7 linked regions of the Oryzias latipes genome follow. The protein of the gene in region 5 interacts with the protein of the main gene of each other region in a pairwise test. Links are inferred from orthologs where the notes say so. Each region holds a gene or a part of one and is shown on either strand. Other genes may lie near its edges. The genes, in order: necab2, zmat2, rabac1, paf1, fragile X mental retardation syndrome-related protein 1, pts and c17h1orf35.

The links.
Region 1: the proteins of fragile X mental retardation syndrome-related protein 1 (region 5) and necab2 interact in a two-hybrid assay, tested with the Homo sapiens proteins (2 studies listed by BioGRID and IntAct). The link is inferred for Oryzias latipes from reciprocal best matches to the Homo sapiens genes FXR2 and NECAB2.
Region 2: the proteins of fragile X mental retardation syndrome-related protein 1 (region 5) and zmat2 interact in binary tests that used the Homo sapiens proteins (3 or more experiments, as listed by UniProt). The two-hybrid records come from large-scale screens. The link is inferred for Oryzias latipes from reciprocal best matches to the Homo sapiens genes FXR2 and ZMAT2.
Region 3: the proteins of fragile X mental retardation syndrome-related protein 1 (region 5) and rabac1 interact in binary tests that used the Homo sapiens proteins (3 or more experiments, as listed by UniProt). The two-hybrid records come from large-scale screens. The link is inferred for Oryzias latipes from reciprocal best matches to the Homo sapiens genes FXR2 and RABAC1.
Region 4: the proteins of fragile X mental retardation syndrome-related protein 1 (region 5) and paf1 interact in binary tests that used the Homo sapiens proteins (3 or more experiments, as listed by UniProt). The two-hybrid records come from large-scale screens. The link is inferred for Oryzias latipes from reciprocal best matches to the Homo sapiens genes FXR2 and PAF1.
Region 6: the proteins of fragile X mental retardation syndrome-related protein 1 (region 5) and pts interact in binary tests that used the Homo sapiens proteins (3 or more experiments, as listed by UniProt). The two-hybrid records come from large-scale screens. The link is inferred for Oryzias latipes from reciprocal best matches to the Homo sapiens genes FXR2 and PTS.
Region 7: the proteins of fragile X mental retardation syndrome-related protein 1 (region 5) and c17h1orf35 interact in binary tests that used the Homo sapiens proteins (3 or more experiments, as listed by UniProt). The two-hybrid records come from large-scale screens. The link is inferred for Oryzias latipes from reciprocal best matches to the Homo sapiens genes FXR2 and C1orf35.

Annotation. Positions count from the first base shown.
Region 1 is NC_019864.2:24,684,458-24,688,747, forward strand, and holds the start of necab2 (N-terminal EF-hand calcium-binding protein 2), read right to left. Parts: upstream 2,801-4,290; 5' UTR 2,755-2,800; coding exon 2,428-2,754; intron 1-2,427. Other genes in the region: hydin (hydrocephalus-inducing protein homolog), read right to left, coding at 3,526-3,726, 3,994-4,275. UniProt on the Homo sapiens protein: May act as a signaling scaffold protein that senses intracellular calcium.
Region 2 is NC_019872.2:3,288,058-3,292,231, reverse strand, and holds the start of zmat2 (zinc finger matrin-type protein 2), read left to right. Parts: upstream 1-1,374; 5' UTR 1,375-1,445; coding exon 1,446-1,463; intron 1,464-2,851; coding exon 2,852-2,951; intron 2,952-3,036; coding exon 3,037-3,160; intron 3,161-3,285; coding exon 3,286-3,359; intron 3,360-4,174. UniProt on the Homo sapiens protein: Involved in pre-mRNA splicing as a component of the spliceosome.
Region 3 is NC_019874.2:20,935,573-20,939,790, forward strand, and holds the start of rabac1 (prenylated Rab acceptor protein 1), read right to left. Parts: upstream 2,801-4,218; 5' UTR 2,745-2,800; intron 2,531-2,744; 5' UTR 2,466-2,530; exon of another isoform or gene 2,418-2,465; intron 1,183-2,417; 5' UTR 1,169-1,182; coding exon 1,047-1,168; intron 669-1,046; coding exon 456-668; intron 281-455; coding exon 183-280; intron 28-182; coding exon 1-27. Other genes in the region: dedd2 (DNA-binding death effector domain-containing protein 2), read left to right, coding at 4,147-4,218. UniProt on the Homo sapiens protein: General Rab protein regulator required for vesicle formation from the Golgi complex. May control vesicle docking and fusion by mediating the action of Rab GTPases to the SNARE complexes.
Region 4 is NC_019871.2:11,070,354-11,073,451, reverse strand, and holds the end of paf1 (RNA polymerase II-associated factor 1 homolog), read right to left. Parts: intron 2,684-3,098; coding exon 2,615-2,683; intron 2,416-2,614; coding exon 2,312-2,415; intron 2,245-2,311; coding exon 2,128-2,244; intron 2,046-2,127; coding exon 1,917-2,045; intron 1,741-1,916; coding exon 1,635-1,740; intron 1,489-1,634; coding exon 1,410-1,488; intron 1,272-1,409; coding exon 841-1,271; 3' UTR 501-840; downstream 1-500. Other genes in the region: glia maturation factor gamma, read left to right, coding at 177-248. UniProt on the Homo sapiens protein: Component of the PAF1 complex (PAF1C) which has multiple functions during transcription by RNA polymerase II and is implicated in regulation of development and maintenance of embryonic stem cell pluripotency.
Region 5 is NC_019876.2:28,860,591-28,864,090, reverse strand, and holds part of fragile X mental retardation syndrome-related protein 1, read right to left. Parts: coding exon 3,429-3,500; intron 3,356-3,428; coding exon 3,239-3,355; intron 3,120-3,238; coding exon 2,949-3,119; intron 2,874-2,948; coding exon 2,795-2,873; intron 2,689-2,794; coding exon 2,528-2,688; intron 2,327-2,527; coding exon 2,240-2,326; intron 1-2,239. UniProt on the Homo sapiens protein: mRNA-binding protein that acts as a regulator of mRNAs translation and/or stability, and which is required for adult hippocampal neurogenesis. Specifically binds to AU-rich elements (AREs) in the 3'-UTR of target mRNAs.
Region 6 is NC_019877.2:21,056,526-21,058,948, forward strand, and holds the end of pts (6-pyruvoyl tetrahydrobiopterin synthase), read right to left. Parts: intron 1,917-2,423; coding exon 1,837-1,916; intron 1,762-1,836; coding exon 1,739-1,761; intron 1,668-1,738; coding exon 1,611-1,667; intron 1,517-1,610; coding exon 1,446-1,516; intron 1,362-1,445; coding exon 1,238-1,361; 3' UTR 501-1,237; downstream 1-500. UniProt on the Homo sapiens protein: Involved in the biosynthesis of tetrahydrobiopterin, an essential cofactor of aromatic amino acid hydroxylases. Catalyzes the transformation of 7,8-dihydroneopterin triphosphate into 6-pyruvoyl tetrahydropterin.
Region 7 is NC_019875.2:27,890,663-27,894,666, reverse strand, and holds the start of c17h1orf35 (multiple myeloma tumor-associated protein 2), read right to left. Parts: upstream 2,801-4,004; 5' UTR 2,346-2,800; coding exon 2,249-2,345; intron 2,131-2,248; coding exon of another isoform or gene 2,109-2,130; exon of another isoform or gene 1,809-2,108; intron 1,164-1,808; exon of another isoform or gene 1,130-1,163; coding exon 979-1,129; intron 888-978; coding exon 842-887; intron 766-841; coding exon 683-765; intron 314-682; coding exon 241-313; intron 1-240. Other genes in the region: guanylate kinase, read left to right, coding at 2,908-2,941.

The sequences.
Region 1 (4,290 bases), on a different chromosome or scaffold from region 5:
GTGTGAGTGTTATCTGAACAGCTTCAAGGAAAACCAAAGTATATTTCCATTTCCCAGAAGGACTTTGACGTGCTTTCTGGGTAATGGAAAATACAACAGATTTACAGATTTAAGTAGGTGAAAGCTTTTAGACATTTAGTCTGTCCAAGGAATGTTTTAATCCAATAAAGGTATGGATTAAAACTCAAACACTTTGGACCTATTTCTGTTTAAATCCAACTTTAACACCCTCAGATTATGATGCTGAAAGTCGATTTACCCCTCATTGCCACAGTGAGAAGAGAGCTGACAGATGGTAAAACACATGCAATGTTGTGATTTTTTTTTTTTTTCGAGGAGTGACTAATTCTGTGTAGAAATAGGGAATCTGGATTGTAATTAGCGGCTGGTCAGCCAACATTCAGTGCCCAGACTTTTCTGTTTGTCAGTTCACACTGAGGCTGAGGGATAAGGTGCAGCACAGAGCCGATGATGTCCACCAGACTGATGAGGACTCACTGCATGCTCCACATTGAGCTAATTTATAGCTGCAGTAAAAGCTTTGACCTGTTTGGAAGTGAAAGGCTCAGAACTGGAACTTCTGATAAGGAGAGAAACACAAGGATGTGGAACTGGAGGTCGGACAGAAGACAGCTCATAAAGACGAGATCCAGATTGCAGCATTTTTTACTTTTAATGTAAGAACTTGTCTGCTCGTCTGTCTGCGTCATCTTTTTTTTCCTATTTACTTTTCTATTCAGGATCAGCTGCAAAAACACAACAATACAGTAAGAAGGACCCCTGTGTTGTTTCTGAATTCTGTAACCAAAGAGACAAGGTATTGCTGCATCACAGCTGTGTGTTCTAAAGAAGCAAAAATGAGCCCAAATATTGACAGAACTGCAGCAAAAAGCTTCAATGCTTCTTAAATGGAGACTTCCTTCATTCGTTGATGATTTTTGTGATCCTCTAATGTCTAAAAGGGTACAAAACAGACAAGCTGCTAATAATTTATTGGTTTTATTTAAATATGAATGAGAGAATATGATCGTTTTCTAGTCACTTCTGTCAATAACAGTACTGGTGTTGATGGAATCTCTCATCAAAATGTTTCCTTTTTCTGGATTTTGCAGAAAAAACTTGCATAAAAGCTGTTTTATGTTTAATTATTTCCTTCCTCTGTTGCAGTGAAACTCATTAAGAGGTTTTTGCATTATGGCAGCTAAAGCTCTAAATAAGATGTGCAGTCTTGGAGGCATCATTGTAGAACAGATCAAAACCTTGGTGCCAAACTGAGCTGTGCTTCAGATGACAAGCAGCTCTGCATTGTTCGGCTCCTCTAATGCACCCATGGGGCCAACTCAGCCCCACAAACAAGAGCCAGCAACAGAGGAGCTTGGAAAAGAGTGTCGCGTTAAGGAGGCGGTGGCTCACAGCACAGAGGACCAGCAAAACTGTGAGGGCTTAACTATTTCTTTAAAATTAAGAATAAACAGGAAAAAGCCGGACGATGCCTGAAACCTTATTAAAACGGATTTCTCTGAAAACAGGAGGAAAGGACAAATGAGGAAAGGAGGGGAAGAAGAAAAGAGCAGACCGTAGGAGAAAAAAAGACAGCTGGATGCAGGTGTGAGCGTGCAAATCAAATGTTCACTTCTCCACCATGATAATGATGACGGGGTCAGCAAGAGTGGAACATGGCAAAATCATTAACATTCTAGAGTTCGGGGTGATGTGCAAAAGAAGGAGAGAAAATGCTAAAATGATTCAAAGCTGAAGTCAGATCCTGCAGAGAAGGAAGAGTTGCAGGCTTAGAGATCAAAGCGGACTGTCACTGAGAGGCATAAATACAAAACGACAGAAATAATGAACAACAAAAACAGGAGAGAAATCAGGAATCTTTTCATGTATCCAAACACACAATTTTAGTTTGCTGGTAGGGATTCTCTCAAGAAATAACTTTTTGAAAATCTAGAATAATGTGACATGAAATTTGAATTGGCCCTCTGGTCATAACTTTATTCAGGTCATCTGCAGAAGCTGATCTAGTTTCTCTTTTGTTTTGTCTTCTATTAAGGCCGGACTAGAAGATCTCAGGGGGAGACAAACGATCTGCGGGTATTGATGAGCTGACCTATATTAAAGATTGCGCCAAAAGTGGATCAGTGAACCATCTAACTGACTGATGAATAGATTTTTGTTGTTGTTTTAAGGAATCTGTTTCGAAGTTTATAAACTGAATACAGCTCAGGCGGTTTGGTGGAGGATGCAGACAGAGTGGAGAGTTCAGGCGCCAGCCTCATCCCGGACACCCACCAAAGTGTCAAATAACCAGCAGACCTCCTGCCAAGTCTCCACTCCTCGCTCTTGTCTGTGCGTAAGTGCGCACGGCGCGCACCGCTCCCTGGATCCTGCGCATCCAACCCCCCCATGCAGCCTGATACTTACATCCAGAATGACCGAGATGCCTCTCCGTGGCTCCGGGGCAAAGAACTGCTCCTGGGCCACGGCCACCTCCTCTTTGCTGGAGGCGTACTCCCGGCTGGAGATGTTCTTGTTGTCGCTCATTTTGGTGACGATCCAGCGGACGAGCCCGTCGATTCCACCGGGCTGGGCGCCGCTGTTTCCGGACTGCGCTGCCGTCGCGGACTCGCTGTCCTGACCGGCTGAAGGCTTGGGCTGCTCGCGGCTCTCCTGCGCGCGGAGTTTGGCTTGTTCTTTGTTGAGCAGTTTGTGGACTCCGTCCCTACAGTAACGCGCTGCCTGCTCGCACATCCTTTTGCTGCGGAGCGCTCATGCTGCGCTCTATGGGGGAGAGAGAGGAGCTCCCCACCCACCCCACTTCCCTCCTTACATCACACACCCACCCCAAAACACACCCACCCCACATTCCCTGCAAACCCACTCAGGAGACAGAAAACCTTGTGGAAGCTTCAACTTCTCACTTTCCATGCGCGTTTTTTTTGCAGATCATGCGTTATGTGGCTGATTTCAAATGCACGTCAGAACTTTTTTTTTCCTTTTCAAAAAATATTTTGTGGGTGTTTCATCCCGCAAACAGTTTCTGTCCTTTGGCTGTATTCCAGGGGGAGGATTTCTGCATCCCTGAAGGAGCATCAGAGAGTTTTTCCTCACGCAGCTCCTCTCATTAGAGGGTGTCCTGCATGAGTGATGTGACAGATTTAACCTTTAGTAATGACTGACTCCACCAGGTCTGCCCTTTTCCAGAGTTAACGGAACAAAAAGAAGATCAGGACAAATGAGGTCCTGCAGGAAAGTTGACAGAATGACAAAACAGCTGTGGAGGATGATGTGTCTTTCCTCCATCAGACAAGCAGCAGAACTCTGATCAGATTACTTGACATTACTGCCCCCTTGTGGAAATGAGAGTGCATCGACAGGAAGGACTTTGTAGAATTTATTAAGTCATTTAGAAAATGTTTATGCTTTAAAGTATTGCAGCTTCGTCATTCTAATTAAATTCATATATAACAGTTACTAAATAATAAAAACGGATCAGCTGCTTCCTGTTGTGGTTATTTATGATCACTGGGATCCTTTCAGGTAAAAGACCCATGAGCAAGGCTTGCTGTGTCCCTCGCAGCGCTCGCTGGAAACGGTCAGCTTTCCGAACCAGGCCTCCCTTCCAGGCTCTCCATCAGGAGCTTCAAAGGAAACCTGGATGTTGTGAATCTTTTTTGGTTTGATGTTGTCTGGTCCTTTGACAGTAAAGCAGGGGTTGTCCACCTAAAGCAGCAGAACATCCAGTCAGTTTCAGGTTACTACATTTACAGGCATATTCATTTGGGAATCCAGCAACTCAAGCAGCATAACAATAGAAAAGTTAGATGTAAAGTGGGGTTGGAGCACTTTGTAAGTCACTGTGCTAAATATAAATGAGCTGGGTGCTGCTGCAGCCCTTATGAATAATTTAAAAAAATCTTCTATTGAAAGTAAACAGGTCATAGTTCTTAATATGAAGACTTCCTTTTACAAGGTCTGCCTGTTCTTTACCTGAGCAGTGAATGTAATGCTTTGCAGGAACACGTTCTTGAAGGGGATTGTGATGCTGTGACCTGCCTTAATGCTGAGTGGACCCTGAGCTTTAGGGGGGAGGCAGACCCCATGTAAGGGAAAGATGTACTCTCCATGAATCCCAGAGGACAGACTGAGGTCCGTTTTCACTTCGCCAAGCTGATGAGGCTCAAAGCAAACCTCCACGCTGACCTCTGACCCCACCTGGAGGCCCGGAGCAGCAACAACAGTTTTGGTCACGATGAAATCCGGACTATCGATCTAAAAGGCAAACAG
Region 2 (4,174 bases), on a different chromosome or scaffold from region 5:
TCGCTAGAGGAGACACGCCCGCTTGGGAAGCCTGGCCGACGGTGGCGGAACGCAACGCCATCTTGGTGAGGTCAACGACGCCTACATGACAATGATTTCTTTAGCCTTTGGTAGCATCTAAGTAGCTTTTATATAATTTATATTTATTCAAATTTCTATATATTTATACATATAAATAAACACATGATAAATGTATATAATTTTTATATATATACATCATTTGATGCTTTTAAATAAGAGAAACAGTCAGCTTTAAAAGTTCAAACTTTAATGAAAAATGCATTGTTTTTAATTTTTAAACATTTCCAAGTTTTAGACCTCTTTGACATGTAATTGAAATTATTTAGAAAAGCCCAACAATAAGTCAATAATAATAATAAATAATAACAATATATAAATAATAAGTCAATAATAATAATAAATAACAAATATAAATAATAAGTCAATAATAATAATAATTAATAACAATATATAAATAAGTCAATAATAATAATAATAATAATAATAATAATAATAATAATAATAATAATAATAATAATAATAATAATGAATCAATAAATAATAATAATAATAAATCAATAGTAAGTCAATAATAATATTGAATGATAAAAATAAATCAATAATAGGTAAATAATAATAAATGATAATAATAAATCAATAATAAGTCAACAAAAAGTCCAAAAGTCAACAACAGATTTTCCCCTTTAAAAAAACAAAGAAAAGAAATAGATTTACCTCCTGATTCATGTTAGTGATAAATTTGTGTGACACAGTTGGTTTAGTGTCGGGTTTCAAGCTAACAGTCTGGCCAGTCTCATCAAAATCTGTTTCCTCAAATTGTTTTGAACATAGCCAGACTGTATTACTAGTTGGTACCACAGTGATCCATCTGGGTTAGCTCTTTTTATTGCTAAGGCCCACTTTTTCCTTAAGTCTGAATCCATTGGAAACCTGCAATAAAATTTCAGTCACTGAGTCAGAAATGTATAAATCTCTATTACTATAATAGCCTAGTATAATGTATACAGGTTTAACACAATAAAGTTTACATTTATATCGACAGCAAATTATACGTACATCATGCCTACATGTTGATAATCGCCCTGCAGCATCATGCATGAAAACATGTGTATGATTAATGATGCCCCTGCAGCATTAAAAGAAAAAAATATATAATACTTACCTGTGAAATGTTATGCCTTCCTCCTTCGTGGACTCATTTCTCTGATTTTGGCAGTTGAAACCCGAAAAATGAACTGGTATTTTGCAAGAAATGTGTTCACATGCATGCACTACAGCAGTAATTTGACCTCACCAAGATGGCGATGCTCTCCCCCCTTGAGGAATCACGTGATGTCTCCTCTACCGATAGAACTAAATTTAGACAGGAAACTAGCAATGACGAGCTGCAACATCCGGTGACGTATTTTCCGTAGGTAAACAAGATGGCGTCCGGCAGTGGGGTGAGTTTCCAAGCAGAATTTCTCTGCCCCTGTTTGTTGTAATACAGTTTAATTCAATAAACAAGATTAAAATTCTTCACTTTATATTTGGTACCGTGGAGGCGTTTTGACTGTAACCGTTACAGACATCAGCTGCTGCCGTTAGAAGCGCGGCCTCGGACTAGCAGCGGCTAACTCGCTCTGACGCTTGGGTACTTTATTTGCAGAATTTTACGGCCCTTTTTAAAAAAAAAAAAAATTAGTACCAAAAACGTTTTGACTCAACCGCCGTTAGTTTTTATCTTTAAAGGACTAATTCAAAGGTGTAACGAATTCCGGTGTGGCAAAATAAAAGCTCTTGAAGTTTATTTCGTAAAGCCGACTGTGATGATAATAAATGAAACTGTAATAATAAGGATAATGTCCTTTTTGGTTTTTGCAAATATGAAACAATGTTTCTGTTGCTATATTATAAAATTTATAAACCCACCCCTGTTGAAAATGTTTACTTTGATAATATGAATGAAAGGGAAGAGCTGTCGATCAATACAGACCATGAATTTCTGCTTTTTTTTTTTTTTTTTGGATGCTGGTGTGCCGCGGGATCTTTTTCAGGGTTAAAGTGTGCCGTGGCTCAAAAAAGGTTGAAAAACACTGGTCTAGAGTGACTTAGGGTTTCCTGTCCTGTAAGCACAGCTCCACCAGCAGGCGTATCCCCCTGGAGCCTGACGGCACCATGCATTTGGAGAGCTGATCAGTTTCAGGCTGCAGCTGCAGCCAGGATCAGGCTGTTGAACGGAGATTTCTGAAAAATCTAATGTTCATTATGAAGGATCTCTTTGGACTCATCTGTTTATCCAACATGGATGCTTCCCGTCAGCTGGATGTTCGGCCTGAGCCCTCCCCTTATCTCGGGTCACGGAGTAGGAACAGCCCTTTTCCCAAACACCATTAAATACGAGCAGCAGCATGGCTCACGCATAAATCATGGGTCACACGTTCCCCATGATTTGTGCGTTCATCCATACCTCTCTGAGCTTTTGGAATCTCGGTTAAGCTCATATCTTTCCCTGGAGGGACAGAGATCCAGGAGGAACCTCTGGGAAGAGCCAGCTCCTCCTGTTTGAGCTTGGAAGGTGCACAAGGCGTCAGCTCTGACAGTCCAACAGGCATCTTCACCGTCTGCATTTAAACATTCTTCTGACGAAGCATGAGGCTTTCCTGCTTTTGTTCCTTCTCTGTTGTTGTGTCTCTGTGGTTCTGTTTTAGAGTTTTATCAATGAAGTTGAGTTGAGAAGCTGTTGCTCTTTTGTCAGGAGGAGTAAAAGCTCCTCGTCTTCATCAGCTGAATGTTTGTTGAGATGTGAAGATAATCGAGGCGCTCTGAGTCATCTTCTCGTGTCTTCCAGTCCAGCAAGAACGACTTCCGGCGGAAATGGGACAAGGACGAGTACGAGAATCTCGCTCAGAAGCGGCTGAACGAGGAGCGCGAGCGGGAGCTCAGGGATGGTGAGGGCAGCGCTCTCCGTTCTTTGGGGACCCTTGGGGGTCAATCGCTTATCACCCCTGACGCATGACCTGTTGGCTCTTTCAGGAAAACCTGTCCCTCCCGTCAAGCGGGAGCTCCTGCGGCACAGAGACTACAAAGTGGATCTGGAGTCCAAACTGGGGAAAACTATTGTCATCACCAAGACCACCCCTCAGGCGGAGATGGGCGGGTGAGTTCCTGACGGCTTTGGGTTTGGAAAAATGGAAAACTGAAACTCTTTGAACCAATAAGAAAAAGTTGTGGAGCAGAAACGGACAGGTCTGGGTTCTGGTTCCGACATATTTTTTTTTTCAGATATTACTGCAATGTTTGTGACTGTGTGGTCAAAGACTCCATCAACTTTCTGGATCACATCAACGGCAAGAAACGTAAGTACACCTGTGCTTTAGGGAGGGGCCAAGAGCGCAGATGTAACGTGGATCATTTTATACAGTCAGGTCCATAAATAATGGGACAGCGACACAATTCCAACATGTTTGACTCTATATGCCACCAAAATGGATTTGAAATAAAACGAACAAGATGTGCTTTAACTGCAGACTGTCAGCTTTAATTTGTGGGTATTTCCATCCAGATCAGGTGAACTGTGTAGGAATTACAACAGTTTGCATCTGTGCCTCCCACTTGTTAAGGAACCAAAAGTAATGGTCAGAACAATAATCATAAATCAGACATTTACTTTTTAATACTTGGTTGCAAATCCTTTGCAGTCAATTCCAGCATGAAGTCTGGAACTCACAGACATCTCCAGACGCTGGGTTTCATCCCTGGTGATGCTCTGCCAGGCCTCCAATGCATCGGTCTTCAGTTCCTGCTTGTTGTTGGGGCATTTTACCTTCAGTTTTGTCTTCAGCAAGTGAAACATTGCATAACATTCCACTTCTTTCCCTTAAGAAGGCCTTTAGTTGCGGTTGCAGTTTGCTTTGGGTCATGGTCCATCTGCACTGTGAAGCGCCGTCCACTGAAGCATTTGGCTGATCATGAGCCCAAAAGCCTTCAGAATTCATCCTACTGCTTTTGTCAGCGTTCACATCATCAATAGATAGAAGAGAACAGTTCCATTAGCAGGCATACATGCCCACGCCATGACAATACCACCACCATGCTTCACTGATGAGGTGGTATGCTTAGGATCATGAGCAGTTCCTTTCCTTCTCCATACTCTGGTAGAGGTTGATCTTAG
Region 3 (4,218 bases), on a different chromosome or scaffold from region 5:
TCTGATGAGGGACATTAAGCTGTTTGCCTGGAAAAAAACAAAGTTGGCAAACACATGAAAACATAATTCTCTGTGGCTTTCTATAAGATTCTCCCATTTCATGCATGGCTGAAAAAAACTCTGAAAAAAAGTTTTTTCACTTTCAGGCAAGTTAAGGACAGCAGTTTTTCTGTTTTACTTACCAAGAACAACCAGTCTGGACTCTTGAGACTTCAGGTGGATTATGTAGAAGGCACCAAGAAACACAGCCAATGCAATCAGTAGCATAGGGGAGCTTATACTGACAAGAAAAGAAAAAAAAAAAGGCTCATAATGCTGTTACTGATTCAATCTTTTCTTTTTCTTTTCTCAATCCCGGTGGCCTTAGTGTGTGCAGTCAGTGTTGCATCTGTTATTTCATAAAACTTCAATAATGTTTTGAGGTAAGGCCAAAGCAAACTCAGGTTTACACCTACATGCAGTACAGGATGAGACCCAGGAAGATGAAGGTGTAGTTGCTGTTGTAAGTTTCCACATTTTTCACCACTCTCTGGCATGCATCTCCGAAGTTTCGTGGTTTTGAAAACTTGCGTTGGTCCACAAAACTGGCCCACGGTCGAATGGACAATCGGCGCCTATCAATCCACTCCTTGGCCATGCTGGCAGAGAAGCCTTTAGGGAGCCAGAGCCTACAAAATAAAGGTAAAATGGTAATAAAGCGTACAAACTCTCAAGGAAAAAGTCAATGCATTACAACTTTTGACAATATGAGCAAAACAAAAAAGTATTTTGTAGTTTGATTAAGGAAATTCTTAGAAACTTTGACAAAACAAAACTTTAAAAAAAAAAAAATTTTAAGTAATGAGGCACAGTCTACAGAACAGGAGGATGAGGATTTAGGACTAACTCCACCCCCAAAAGTGGATGTGTAAAGACAGTAACTCACAGAGCCTTAGCACCATTGCTGTGGTTTTTCTACAAACGCTGTTTAATGTCCACGTCCATCACCGAAGAAAGTTGTTTGGGTCACTAAACTCCTTTTTAAAAAAAACAAAACTGACTCGTACTTTGAAAGGATTCCAGCTCCACCCGTGCCAGTTGGGTGAGCATCTTCAGCCGTAAACAGATCTCCAGCCTTGCTGTCCATGTCCACTTGACAGTTCTCTCCCTTTGGTACTCCAGATGGCATCTGCAAACCTTCTCCTGAAAATAAAAGAAAATAGAATAAATAAAATAAAAGAAATAGTCTTAAGATTTTTCCTTCACATACTTTTTTTTCCCCCTTCTTCGGATCAGCACAAGATAAATAGTCCAAAAACTGTGTGGAAAAATGGCCTTCCTTTATATGGAGATAGATGTTTTTTACGAGAGATGAAGTGGGATAAAAGAATATTAACGTTTTTGAGTTTGAGGTTGTTTAATGAAGAGCCTAAGTATTAATAATAATTATAGAAAATCATAAAATAGAAAATATATACATATGACTGAAGACATATACCCAAATACTACAATGGGTAACTGAGTAAACAAATGAACGGAAGATAGAAGCTCAGGAAAGATCTGACTCCTTTTCTTTTCCTTTTTTGCCTATTGTTTACTGTTAACATGCAGATAAGTGCATGCCAAGTTTGCATGTGGGATGTTGTTACATCATTGGGTTTGTCAAGTGGTTTAAAGATTTTGTTTTGTTTAGTTTCTCCATTTTGCTTCTAAAGTTAATTTAAAAAAAAAAAAAAGAAAAAAAAAGATTGTCTTATTGGAAGTTTGCATTTTTCCTCGTATTTTTCAATGTACAAACGATATGTATCCTTTATAAAACATGTCAGAATTTTTCTGGATTCTTCTTTATTTTCCCCTGTTTAAATGGGAAATAAAACACCATACACCATACAACCATACAATCTTTACGATTTTTGTAACACTCCTCGAGGTGCATCAAAAGCAAACTTAAATAAATAAATAAAAAAGGAAAAAGGAAAGGAAAACCTGTTTACTTTATTTTTTAAAGGTAAATAACAATTGATATATTTTATAAAATGTGTTTAAAATGGAGAAACAGCAGTAACTACAAAAGAAAAACTACATGATCACTAGTTTCCACATTATTCTTAAGAGCATAGAGGTTAGATTTTAATTCAAACTTGTTCCTGATTGGCCAGAAACATAGGAGCGGATCTCGTAAGTGGAAAATTTTTGTCAACAGGGCTTGGTCACTGCCACATCACTGACAAAGGCCGAGAACTGAGCCAGAAAACGACATTTTGAGCAAGTAAAAATCTTTTAAGGATCAAATTTGTCCATATGTGTCGAATTATAAGTGGAATAACTTTTATAAAATGAATACTACCTACTTCTTCGTGTCTCATGTTAAATCAAACTGATTGTACGAAGATCACAGTAATTTATAAACATTGAAATGAAAAGACATAAGATTTTACCTTCGTGATGTGTCAAATGTCAAACCTACAGACGATGTAGATACTTACAGACCAAGTTATGGATAAAAAGCCAAGTTGTTTTGTTGCTGTTGGTCCTCACGGATGTGATGTGGCTGAAGAAGAAGAAGAAGAAGAAAAGAACTTCCTACAACACCAATGCCGCACACTGCCCCCTGCTGGTTGCACCAAAGAACTCCCCAGTCTATGATGTTATTTTTTCCCTTACATTTAACCATATAAAAATATTTTATTCATTCCTCTATTTAACTTTGAAGTCGACAAGAAATCAAAAAACATTTTTAGTGCCAAAGTGACAGAGATTACTACCTTGATTCTTTTAGGAACAATCTGGGAACAATCGGTATGTTAAGTGTGGCAAAAACGTGACCTTACGTTATGAAACCCAGCCCGAGAGCTGTGATTGGTCAATTTACGACTCACGTCTAGCCACTGTCACGTCGCACGTTGCATTGTGGAAGTTGCTAGATCATCCAGCGTCAGGCAAGCTATCGCGGCTGAAAGGTGAGGTCTAATGCACTCTAGGAATATTCTCTTTGTGGAAAATGTAACCTAATAGTGTTTTAAAGGCGCGTGTTTAACGTTACGCTGTATTAGTTGACGCCTTAGCGTCTGCTAGACTAATAAGTTCAGCGGGATTCATCATCATGTCGTCGCACCGACCGTCGTTGAAACAAACAATAGACCGTCTTATTTGTCTCTAGAATTGTTTTTCTGCTAATTTTGCGTGGTGTTACGTGAAGTATAACTGCCAACGAGCTCCTGTGTGTGTGTTTTTAATCGAACAATTGAAGAGCTGTGTGTTTTGTATGTGTTGTCCCCCACCCTACTGATTACATAACTCTGTTCAGAGGAACGGTACCGAGTCGGTAAAGATAACATTAGCAATTGTAGCTAGGCATATATGACAGTAATTAAACACATCTCGATGCATTTCATTATAGGTGGTAGCTGCTTGCAAGTTTGAAGAAAATCTTAAATAGTGAGTGTTCGTTTGTGGCACACAATGTACACACAAAGACTTAACATGACAACTACTAGCTACAATTAAAATACCCACTCCGATGAAAATGAAAATTTAGCTTAGAATTGCATTTCTGAGTATTTCTTTATGCAAACTGATGTGAATTAGACGCAAAAAGCTGTTGCAAAAAAACGTGTAAGTGTGACGTAGAAGCTACTACACCAACCAAGCTCCCTCACTGCTCCATTCTGATGCTTCATTCTGACACATTTGGGCTTCATTTTCCTCGTCTGAGCTGCCATCTGGCTCAAAACTGTACGGTTGGATAGCTCCAATATTGTTCACAATTTTTGTTGCACCACTAATGTGCAGTGGAAGTTGTGATTGTGAGGGGCTGTAAGCGAGTGTGTAAAGGGATGGTGGTAAGGGGGGGCTAACTCCATGCCAGCAGTCCTGCCCACGACTCTGGGGGGTTAATTTCTAATTAACTCCTGCCGCTATGCAGAAACCTTCCTAGAAAACAACACGGGGAACGCTTTGAAAATATTTTAAAAGATGATCGGAGTGGGGCCTTCAAATTGTTACGTTTTTTAAATGAAATTATTAATTAAGGAACCTGATACCATTTGTTTGGTTTCAAGTTTCAAACATAAACATGGTTAAAGTAATTTTTTTGTGTTTGTTTTCTTTTTCCCCTAAACTCCACAGTTTTATTTGAGTGGGAAACTTGGAAAAAAGGGGTAAACCATGGCTTCAATGAATTATCCTGAATGCACACTGAAGAATTCCTTATACTGGGATGAAGCAGAGTGCCTTAAC
Region 4 (3,098 bases), on a different chromosome or scaffold from region 5:
TTTTTTTTTCAGATTTCAGCTTTTATTCTTTTAGTCCAAGAAACATTCATGTGCTAAACAAATTGACTCTTGCAATATCAAGTATAATTGCAAGAACTATAACATGTAATTCCTATTTTCACTTGGTTTGACGTGCAGTTGCATGAACCTAACTTGTGACTGTTTTGCTCTGGAAGGTCTTTGAAACCAGAAATGTCGATGACTTGACAGAAGAGTGGCTGAAGAACCAGCTGGCGTTTTTTCGCTGAATCTGCATCGTCTGGCAGCATCATTGTCAACCGCAACTACCACTTTTATTTGTTGCATAATTAAAATCAGTGATTAAACCACTTTGTTTTCCATCACCTTTAAAGTGTTTAACTTCATATTTTCTTCTTTTTTTGTCGTCAAGTTCTTGTAAATCTAAAACCAAATGAACTAAAACCAAATGTCATTGATGTCATGAGCTGTTCTGCTCGATTGTGTTGTATTTTCCAAAAAAAAGAAAAAATAATCAAGACTTTTGGAAAATGTCACCAGTAATTTATTATCAGTTTCAATGCCTGAGTTGAAATCAGTTTGTCAAAATCAAATTGAACAAATTTATGCTGCATTGAAGGTCAAGCAACAAAGGATTTGCGTACAAACAGATAATGAATGAATGTAACCCAAGTGAAATCTCAGGGATAAAAAAGTGGATTCAAGAAAAAATCTTATGTAAAGATGCGAGGAGCTACACTAATGGAGCTCCAGCGCCAAATTCTGCGACTGTGCTCGGTGACAGAGGAAGGACACATGCATATAAGCTCCATCAGCCCAAACACACAGAGAACAAAGGGTTTGCTCTTCAGCCTGCAGGTTTTAATCACTGTCACTGGCATCACTGGAGTCGGAGGCTCTTTCGCTTCCGCTACCACTCTGAGCCTGCGCCTCGGAGTGGTCACTGCTGTGGTTGCTGGGCGCTGGAGAGGCACTGCGACTCCTGGTGCCCCTTCGGTTCTGCCCTTCCTCCTCGCTATCGCTGCCTTCGTCCCCGCTGCTTCTGGCCGAATTCTTGGGCTCGTTGTCATCGCTGTCGTCGTCGCTGCCGAAGATCTCCTCCTCGTCTCGCATCTCCCTGGTCCTCTCTTCGCCGCTTTCGCTGGCACTGCCACTGGACTTCCTCCGCCTTTTCCGTCTGGCTTCGTTGTCCTCGTCCTCCTCTGCGCTCTGTTCCCGCTCTTCGTCTTCCCTCTCAGATTCACTGCCGGAGTTCTCTGCCTCACTGCCACTTCCTTTCTCTTTTTCATCACCTAAAAGAAAAAAACACAAAACAATGAAAAAAATGACTGACATTGCAACTGAAGTAATTCCTACAGTTCAAAATAAAGCAGTTGTTACAAAAAATACTACAGAATCCTTTGCATGATTAAAAAAAAAAGAAACTTTACCAGAGTCCTGCATGTCTTTGTCCAGGTCTTCCTCTTCATCTTCAGGTTCATGGTTCTCAAGCTGAGCTTTACGTGCCTCCTGATGATGAAGACGACATCATTCATAAGAGATTTGTGTCATGCAACATAAAAATCCTGATCCTTTGTCAATAAACTGCTGTTCTGAAAGATGTGTGTGTGTAAACAAACAAACAAACAAACAAACAAACGGAGCAAGGACCTTACCTGAGCTTCAAGCTCTTTCTCATTCATATCTCTGTGCTTACAAACAAGCACAGCATTTGTTGTGGACTGTGCTCCAGCCTTGGCTCTTCTCTTACTCAACCGCACCCTAAAGGTCAAAGTTAAAGTTAAGAAAAAACAAGTACTGAACTGTTTATCGAACCTCTAACCTGTTGGGAAAACAAAGATCCTGCCCTACTTTTTCTCTACATCAGCCAAGTGATACAAGTTTTACATTTAACTAAAAATATATGGAAAGGAATTTGTTGAGATTTTTCTACTCGCCTGGTCTCCAGCTCGTTGTAATAAACACCATCTCCATCTCTGAAGATGAAGAAGTAGTTCTCCTCATAACCTTTGCTGGCTTTGTTTTTGACATTCCAGTTGTATTCTCGCGCGATCTTGTAGTCGTAACTGAAACGAAAAAAGTCTCAAGATTGATCTTGTTTTGGAACAACATCTAGATGTTTTTTAACAATGCCGTTCTTCCACTTACACATCATCCGCCATGTATTCCACTCCCTCCTCGGAGTCTCTCTTACGCTTGCGAAGTGTTTCCTCGTGGGGCAGGAAGTAGGCTACAAACTGATTCCCCTCCTCGTCCATCATTCCTCTATCATAAAACAATTGTTTGTTTATGTTTCATAAAGAGACCATCAGGATAAAAACTCTGAATGTACCTAATCATCGCCTGGGACATCATCTCCACTCCTGCTGGTGCAGATATGTCTTTAGGAGCTGGATCAGAATCGAAGATGACCTGAGCGCATGGGTTGATCCACATCTGAGGAAAGCCACAATGCATACAAATCATTAAAAGAACATAAACATGGACAGACCATTTCTTATTTTTTTCCCTATATATACACATATCTTATTTAATTAGTTGTTCTAGTTTCTCCTTTTGCAGCAAGTGATTTTAAATGTTCAAAAGAGATTACCAAAATATTAACTGTTGCATTTCATCTTGTGGTAAAACTCACTTTAAAGTCAGGGAAAACTGGCAATATCTCCACAGGAGTAACTCTCGGTTTACTGTAGTGCTGTGCGATCTGTGGCAGAAAGGAAAAAAAAAAAAAAAAAAAAAACATCTTTAGATTTACCAAGATATTTATATATATATATATATATATATATATATATATATATATATATATATATATATATATATATATATATATATATATATATATATATATATATATATATATATATATATATATATATATATATATACACACACACACACACACACACACATATATACACACACCAGCGTGACCTTTACCAAATTTTCTAGCATTCCCTTGCAATTTCTACAATGCTGTTACACATCAGAACTGAATTTCTGCATGTACTGTAACTGAAAAAAAGATTTGATCCAAGTCTCTAAAACTTAAGCTACACAATCAATTTTAATAAGCTAAACAAGACCATACTGGTGTGTATTCATTTGCATTTCTTGAT
Region 5 (3,500 bases):
TCTGTAGACGCGAGTTTACCGTCTGTAGACGCGAGTTTACCGTCTGTAGACGCGAATTTACCGTCTGTAGACGCGAGTTTACCGTCTGTAGACGCGAGTTTACCGTCTGTAGACGCGAATTTACCGTCTGTAGACGCGAGTTTACCGTCTGTAGACGCGAATTTACCGTCTGTAGACGCGAGTTTACCGTCTGTAGACGCGAGTTTACCGTCTGTAGACGCGGGTTTACCGTCTGTAGACGCGGGTTTACCGTCTGTAGACGCGGGTTTACCGTCTGTAGAGGCGAGTTTACCGTCTGTAGACGCGAGTTTACCGTCTGTAGACGCGAGTTTACCGTCTGTACATGCGAGTTTACCGTCTGTAGACGCAAGTTTACCGTCTGTAGACGCGAGTTTACCGTCTGTAGACGCGAGTTTACCGTCTGTAGACGCGAGTTTACCGTCTGTACATGCGAGTTTACCGTCTGTAGACGCGGGTTTACCGTCTGTAAACGCGGGTTTACCGTCTGTAAACGCGGGTTAACCGTCTGTAAACGCGAGTTTACCGCATTTAAACGCGAGTTTACCGTCTGTAAATGCGGGTTTACCGTCTGTAAACCTGACTTTGTGATTGCAGTGAAATAACCTATGAAGATGTGAGTTTATCCAGTCTGTAAACATGAATTTACAAGTGTGTGAACATTTATCTTATGTGTGGATTTACTGTGTACGTGAATTTCCCATTACTGGGTTAAAAAAACAAAACAAAGTTCAGGTTCTATTGGTAATATTTTTTTTAAGCCACACAAGTCATCGCAGTCAAGAGTCGACTAACGATGCTGATAAAGACGAGGAAATACGGACAATAAATATATAATTTATTCAGTTAAGTATTCGGATTCAGATCTGTTCTGTTCACAGACGAAAATACAAGAGTTTAGTCAAAGTGATTGAACTGAAACAGCTGTTTTCTAGCAATGACGTGTTGATGATTAATTCAATTTTAGACACAAAGAACACAAAGAAAATAGAAGTTCAGATTAAATGTGAAATCCCAACAGAAAAAGGAATCAAGGCTACAGTTAAGAGAAATCCTCAAATTTAAATAAAACTGAACCGAAAGTCCTTGCTTTCCTGGTACTAAAACATTTTTTAATCAATAAATTTCAGTTGGTGAAACTATAACTTTTTCACATAAATGTAATATGTCATTTTTGTGCATATTGTATTAAGAATGCTGCTGGCATACAAGTGTTCCAAGTTTTACCAAGGCTCCAGCACAAACCTGACAAAAAAAGGTTTGTTTTGTTTTTACATAAGTTAGAGTTTAAAAAGGAATTTCATCAAACCAGTGAATTTCTAGTAAAACCGCACTTTTGTTAACCGGGTAAGAAATGCTTTAAAAAGCGTCTGTCCACTTATTGCCTGTAGTTGAAATTATCACAGAAAACGACGACAGCTTAAAACAACCTTTACCAAAACGTTGCAGCACAACAATGCAGCGCTGCAAAAATGCAGTGAGACGGGTCAGAAAACAAGCCATGCAGTTCACCTTTCTACCACTAGGTGTCGGTAAAGACTGACGCTCAGACTCAGTGAGCTGAGAACCGTTACTTTTCTGACGTCACTGCTGACTGAATGAATGATAAAGGAATAATAATGAATGAATAGAGAGAAAAATGAATTTTGTTTGTATGGAGAAGCAGCTCGGATGTTTACATTGCTGGTTGTCTGAGGATGACACGTGACCTTGTAGCCCCTCCCACAAATGGGCTTAAAAGACGGTTACAGGGAGCACTTCTGTCATTTGGGGTTGTGGTTTTGTCTTTAGATTCACGTGTCTTCAGATGAGTGAAGTGAGCAGCAGGGTTTTATGGCAGCGGTGGACGGGGGCAGCTTCTTGGCGGGGGTGGGGGTGGGGGTGGTGGGGGTCCTGCTTCACAGTATGACAGCTGACTCCACCAATGACAGCTGAAGCTCAGGGGAGGTGCGAAGGAGGAGAGGCAGGGCAGGGGGCCTGATGTTATTTTTAAAGGGTCCAGATAGCTGGTAATCTATACTCCGGTGTACCCTTCACCCCCACCCCCCTGAGGGGGGCTATTAATAAAAGCACATGAGGTCAGGGCAAAATGAGGCTCTCTCAGCAGCTTTCACATATGGCATCGCCGCCAGAGCCGTGTGTTGAACCGTGGGGTATAAATGGGGTAAATGTGGCTAAAGCGGTGGCAGCGGTGCCCTCTTCTGGGGCAAACTGAACCCACCTGGAGGTAGGAGACGTGGTACTCCAGCAGAGCCTGGGCGTTGCTGATGTTCTCCTTGGTTCCCACAAACACGAAGGGCACCATCCCCTGATGGAGCAGAAAGCAGAGCCTCCGTAAAAGCGAGAAACGCCGACGCGTCACAGACAGCAAAGCCGATCGGACGGCTGGTCGGCAGCAGGATGGGACGGCGCCGAAACACACAGCACAAAAACACAAAAACTCTCTGCAGCCACAGAGCTTTTTGAGTGGAGAGCAGCGATTAGGAGGCCGGTCGGTCGGTGCATTCACCTCTTTGCCGCCGCCGGCAGTGTCGTCTCTGCCGGCCCCCTGCCTGCCTACCTCCTCCCGGGGAAGCTTTTTGTCGTTGTCTCCCTCGATCCGGACTCGGACCACGCCCGACTTGTCAACGATTTCCTGGATGACTTTGCCGTTCTTTCCGATGACTTTGCCTGTGTGGCAGAGATAGGGGCCGAAGCCGTCGTGACCATCCGTGCGGGACGAGCGGAGGTGACCGGTAAACCCGCCTCTAGTCCGACCAACATGGCGCTCACTCACCTACAAGGTTCCTGGGCACCTGGAAGTAGTCTTCTTTAAACTCCAGATACTCTCGGGCCTGTTTCACCGCCTCGGGGGTCTGTGGCACAGCAGACGGAGATGACGCCCCTCACCGGGACAAATGAGCCCCGATTTCCTCCGGAATGGGGCTTACCTCTCCGTAGATCCTGAACGTGCAGCTCTCCTCCTCCAGCTCGATGGCCGTGACACCAGGAACTTTCCTCGCTTGCTGGATGTTGGCGCCGTGAGACCCGATGGCGAGGCCCATCAGGTCCTCTCGGACTCTGACCTCCTCTTGGTACGCGGCTGCTAGCTGTTTACTGGTCTGGAAAAAGGCGGACGGCACACAATAGAGTCATTTCTGTCCCGGCTGACCGTCCCGGGTCGACTGCCCCAGCGGGAGGCTGAAAGACTGACTGGGATGGGGGGTAAAGGGGGGTTTACCTCCAAATGTTTGGTGGCCTCCTCGTTTCGCGACATTAGGATGAGCTTGGTGCGGATGCTACGGAAATGCATGTCGCTCAGGAGAGTGGCCCGCTTCACCGTCGTCTCGTTGGTCGACTGCCGAGACAAAGAGGTTTGGCAGAGGAACGGAGGCGAGACGGGCCGCCGAGCGTTCGCCGGCAGAACTCACCAACACGATGAGCTCGTGCGTTGGCGCGCTGTAGAAGATGCAGTTTGCTCCGATGGCTTTCCTGAAGTCTTT
Region 6 (2,423 bases), on a different chromosome or scaffold from region 5:
ACCCAGCTTTTTAGGGATCATTGTGTAATTTGAATTATGCACAAAATAAACATTTAAAGAGTTTTCAATTTCATTTTTAAAACAAACTGTCTTGTTTGTATGAATAAAAAACAAACACCAGTGAAAATTTCTGATCCTGAATGTTAACCAAGCTGGGGAAGTTTGATTTGAAATGAAGCTGCGCCCCCTAGTGACCTATTAGCGCCAACACACGTTTCTGTCCAATATCTGGAGATGATCAGATGATCAATGAACTTCATCAGTAACCGATATTTTATCCACACATACAAAACAAAAAAATAAAGACTCGAGCTTTTTTCCAATAAGAAAACCTGATTTTTTTCTAAATTAACAAGAATGTGAAGGTAGATTTCGCACTTTTACATTTTTTTTAACAGTGAAGCATATTAGCAAATACAGCAAAAGAAGCAGAAATGAGAACTGCACTGTCAAGTTTCACAGAAAAAAAGCATCAAGACTACTGAAGAACACTACAGAAGCACAACATCACAGCATTTTTATTAACGGAAATGACAGGTTTAAAGAAAGAAATGGAAACTATTGGCGTCTGAACAAGACAGAAAAAGCTTGAGAGCTCAACAGGTCATTTAAGCTCAACAGCACTCAAAAGCAGCGCTATTACAGAGGACTGGGATGAGCCCAGAGAAAATTACATTCATCCAATGTTCAGCAGAGGCTTTTGGTCACAGGGAGACAAAGGTCATCGACAGTGAAAGAAAGCTCTTTGAGGGAAACAGTCTAAAACAAGAACCAATAGCAGCCCTACTACCTCTGCGGATCGCTCCAAAAAAAGGACCTGGATTGGGCTACAAGTCTTTGTAGACTTGTAAATATTTGTGAACACAAAAAAAAAAATCAGAGAAATGAGCACCGGACCGAACTGTTCTCAATCATGGAGTCCCGCAAACTGACAGGAAGATGCAGAATCAATAAATACTTTATTGTTTTCCATCTTGGAAACCTACAGAGGCAGGAACTCTGTCTGTGAGTCACAGCGCCCCCTGCCTCAGTACTGATGTAAACACAGAGTTCATTTTCTGTATTTGCAGAATTACTAAATAAAACATTGGGTTTGTGTCACAATTATTGGAATGTAAATGATGTGGATCTCAAAAAAAATAATTTTAAAAAAGGATTTTTTTTTTTTGCCCGAGTTAGCAGCCGGGATGAGTCAGCAAACAGATCCGAAGCACTTCTGCGGCGGCGAAAGCAGAGTTTACTCTCCCCGATAGACGACGATGTTCTTATCCGTCTCATGAATCTTGATCTCATAGAGCTGACCGGGGGGAAGGACCTTCACCATGTTGTCCCAAATGTAAACAGCCAGGTTTTCTGTGGTGCTGAGAATCCGGGAGCACAAAGACAAAGAAATCTTACTAAGAAAATAAAAGAAGATGTTTAAAAAAGTTTGGAAAGTTTCATACCTCACAACAGTGGCAAAGTAAGGAACGTCCTTGTCCAGGTTTTTATGGTCCAGAGGAATCATGATGACCTCCTGTAGGTGGAAACAGGCAAAAAAAAGTTCCTTAAAAAGAAGTTTGTTCTTTTAAAAAGAACATTTTAAGACGGCCAGGTAAAGATGGAGTCACCTCGATGCACCTCTTCAGGTCTGTAAGGTTCATGACCATCCCGGTCACGCGGTCAATCTGAAACAGGTTTGATGTCAATCAGAAACAGGGTTTCATTGGTCTCTTGTGTGTTATTCCAACATGCTCACCTTTCCCCGGACGGTGACCTCCACTGTGAAAGAAAGCACACCACAGTGAGCAGACTCATGACTTTACATCCATCATGCTTACAGGAAACCACAATGACCTGTGTAGTTGTGTCCATGACCGTTGGGGTTGTTGCACTTCCCATAAACCTTTGCGTTCTCCTCGTCGCTCAGGTGAACGCTGGAACAGATTCAAACAGTAAGAGGCAGATTCTTGGGTTTAGATTCAGTTTAATCATATGATAGCTTGAACATGTAAACTGTAATATTCCGACCACTAGGTGTCACTGTGATTTGATAAGATACCTAGTCTCGCGGGATTTTGTGGAATAGGTGTGAGATTCAAGATGGTGGAAGTAAAACAGTGAATGTGACAGTTTCCCGGCCTGGATTGTGATTTATTCAATTTAAATCAAAGTTCTTTAACCAAGAACATTACATGGTGTCAGAATAGCGGATTTTCTGTCAACCCTGTCTACAAATGGAGTCCTACGGCGTTCCTATCCCGAGGATGGACTGGGATTGCTCGAACCTTCCAGAAGCGTGGAGGAAATTCCGACAGCATGCAGAGCTGATGTTCACCGGACCTCTGCGTGAAAAGGATGAGGCAGATAAGTGCAGCTATCTACTATTATGGGTTGGAGAAAAAGGACGTGATGTTTATAACACGTGGAACCTAACAGCAGAT
Region 7 (4,004 bases), on a different chromosome or scaffold from region 5:
AAAACAAATTTGTAAGTTTAAGTGATTCATATTTAATCATATAGTCCTGAATCGACTCATTCTTTTTGCCATACTCAACCCTCGTCAATATTGCTAAATAACTAATGCTAATAAAGTCAATAGTTAAAAAATTAAAAATCAAACACATATTTACTACTAATTTTTGACAATTAAAAAATGCTGTTTTAATACAATAATGTTTCCAAATGGCAGTATGGATGATGTAGAAAGACGACTTACTGTAAAAATTTGCAGACCCATTTTAGCCGCCTCCTTTTCCTTTTGGGACAGCACCATTTTTCGTGACCCTGCACTTTAGAGGGAAATAAAGATGGAGTCAACTTAAACAAACCACAGACAGCCAGTCACCTTATCTCCTCTGAACAGAAGGTTGAATTCTGCCAAACCTAAAACTGCAAAGAAAAGTCATGAAATATCCAAGAATATTATTCACCAGCAACCTGATTAACAAATCATTTGACTCATTTTAGTGTATAAACTAGAAAAAAAAAAACTATTAACAAACTCCCATTTGTCATTTGGACAATTAAACATAACTTCTGTACATTTGTTCAAGCAAATTGCATTTATAATAAGAAAAAGAAAAGTTGAAATTTTCCTAAAGCAAACATTTTGCATAAAAAAAATCTGTTTTATGACACAGACAAGAAGATAATCTCACCTTGAGCTTCCTAAACCTGAGATACGATCCACATCCTTCTCTTCACCATCAACCTCTTCTCTCCGGCATACCTCTACAAGATCCTGAAAAAAAAAATCAAATTCAACTTACAGGACTTGACAGCAATTTTTCCAATATTGACCAGCAACGTATCCATACCTCTTTAGTAAGCCCTGTTGGTTGTCTCTTTATATTCTTATGGCCTCTAAGTTCAGAACAAGAAACGCAAAGCATCACTTTTTGTGTCCTAATCTTCAAGAAGGTACAGGAAATGGCTTATGGGAAGTCGCACGTACAGGGCAGCCATCAGTGCCTCCTCCTCTGCAGCTCTGACTGCAGCAAGCTCCTCTTCTTTGGACAAAGGAGCACCACCTTTCTTGTCCTTTGCATACCAGGTCAGATCTTTCCCTTTCTGCCATCGTCCTACGGGAGCCATCAAGGAGTTTCCTGGAAAAAACGCAGAAGAGGTCAAACTATTTAGGTAAAGGTTCTTCTTTAAATTCTACATTTCAAATGCCACAAATTCAGAATACAAAATGTATTATGCAGGATTGTTATACTTTATATTTAGACTTTTTCTTTTATCTAGATGTTTTAATGTTTTGCACCAAATAATCATTTCAATAAATCTATTTGACTTTTAAAGATGATCATGGTTACACACATTTAAATGAAAATATTAGCAGTCCAGACTTCTCCAGTAGATGTATCCTTTTGCATTTTCCCCCATAAAGGTTCAAGTGTAAGAATCAAATTAGAATAGAATAGAATAGAATAGAATGGCTTTATTGTCATTGTGCATAGTACAATGAGATTTAAGCATCACCATCAGTGCAAGAACAGTAAGGAAGGGAAAAGTAGTAAAGATAACATTGTAATATAATAAAATCAAACAAGCAAACAAACAAACAGTATATACAAGTGTGCAATATAAGCTGTAAAATTGATATCAGATCAATGTTTTAAACTTCCTCCAGCTGAGTAAACTTTGTCTTTTAGAATATCTCATTATAGACAAGTGCAGTCTTGTTGTTAGACTGTTTTTTTAATTCCAAGTATTTAGGCAATCCACACATAAGGCAACAGTCTCCTGCCATGTTAAGGGTGGGTGTTTTGAGCCTCATTTCTGTTTGACTTTGCACCTGAAAGGTTGTGGTTTTAGCTCATATTTTACACAGACAACATTCAGAAATCTAAGCAGCTATGAGAGCTTGTCGATTTGCTTTTGTTACATGTTTCTCGGTCCCGACTACTGTGGTGATCACTACGTAGCTCTCTCTGGGCATGCTGACCCGCTGGCAGCGGCGAGGGCACAGAGACAACGAACGTGTCGACCAGAGGAGGCATTGACAGCACGTTTTTGCTTTCTTTACGGAGATTAATCGGGATTGATATCAAGCTATTAGATCAAGCCAAGCCTTGTGTAATGAGGAATTCAATAACAAAAGGTAGGAAAACAACCTAATTTTAGGGGGGCCACACGGGGTTTAAAAGCATCTGGAGCTAATCTTTCCTGGATGTGTGGCACGCGCTGATAGCGTAATCGACTGCACGTTATGGACTTACCGAGATAATTCTCTCTGTGTTTATCGACCTTCACTTCATCCCAGTTGAACTGGTCTTGGCCTCCACGGATGCCTCCGGATCTCGATGAACCAAACATCTTCAAAAGGGCAAAAAAGTGGAGATTCGGGGGGGAAAAGTAACACTTAGCTAGCTAGCTAGCAGCTACGTTGGTTAGCAGAGCTGCGTGGTCGGTGCGGGCCGTTAGCGTGGACTCATCCAGGAAGTTTAGATTCCCAGTTTCCACGAAAGAAACCCACACGGCTGCGTTTGTTTCGACAGCAACTTCCAAACAAACAAACAACCCAACAACGCGACAAAGAGCAGAGCGTTAAAGCTGGACTCTCGCGCGCGCAGCTTAAAGTTGCAAAGACCCAACAAACAATTTTTTTATTTAAGTAAAAAATTTAAAACGGTAGATTTGTAATCCTCAGCAATAAAGATCTGACTACTGCAAATAGAAGCAATACAACTTTTTTCCCGACTAACGAGCATTTCCTGCTCCTTTTGTTTATTTCATTTGGTCGCGTCCAGTGGCGCGCGCGGACGTAACGTGTTTGGGTACGTAGTGATGACGTAGGCGTCTCGCGGTGAGGAAAAGGGCGGCGGAGGCAGAAAATGCTCCGAGGACCGTCTGCAGAATCAGAAAAACCTGCCTCCCGATGTACATGAGACATTTTATCAGACTGTTTTCAGGTAGGAATGAGGATTTTTGACTTCCTTTCCTCCTTCTGCTGTTCTGTTCTCTTTTTCCCATCTCTGTGTCGGAACCACTATTCATTCCTGGAGACACTTTGTTGTCACGGAGCTACAGGAAAAGATGGTGCCCAAGAAGTCAACCGGTGTTTTATTTTATTTCAGGATGCATATAAATCCTAGATGGATGATACAACTTTTGATAGTAGCATAAAAACGTCCAGTATCATCTATTTTGTTTAATGTCAACTTAAATTAGGAAACCCTTTGTAAAATGTAATTTGGGAGAAAAATTACATCACTAACAAAATTGTCTTTCTTTTTTCTTCTTCTTTTTTAAAAATATTTATAAGATATCCAGTTTGCTTATTCATGCAAATTAATGCATTTTCTACCATTTGTCACTAAAAATGTGCATTTTGAAGAATTAGAATATAAGCTTATATCTGTGAGATGTTACATACCTTGCAATATTAAAAAAAAAACAAAAAAAAACATTTAAGTTGGAACCAATTTTTTAGGTTTTGGTTTACTGAAAAGTCTGATAATCTGTTGAGCATTTTTAAATGGTATTTATTCGGAGCAAAACAACATTGGTGCAGTTTGACACAACAGACATTTAACATATTATATTTTTAACCAACCAGTGAGATACTAAAGAAATAAATTAACAGAAAACCGTCAAACCCAAGAGATAAAATCAGTTTATTACTTTGCCACAATAATATCTACATTCAAGTAAACAGGACATCTGTAATGCAATACATGTGTATTTTCTGTGTGTTTTCTTAAGGATAATCAATTGATCTTCTCTTAGAACATGTACTTAACATTGATTGATAACATCTCATTTTAATCAATTTTATATAAAAAACAAACATTTTCTGTCAATTTTTTACGTAAAATGTTCTCATTGAATTAATGAAAGTTGTGTTTTGATTTGGTTAAATCACTAGTTATGTGTTAACAGTGTTTAACCAAACTGTCATGTAAACTGAAATGTAGATTAAAAAAATGTCCAATAGAATTTGACAGTGACGCTCAGCCTTTCTGGTTCACGGAG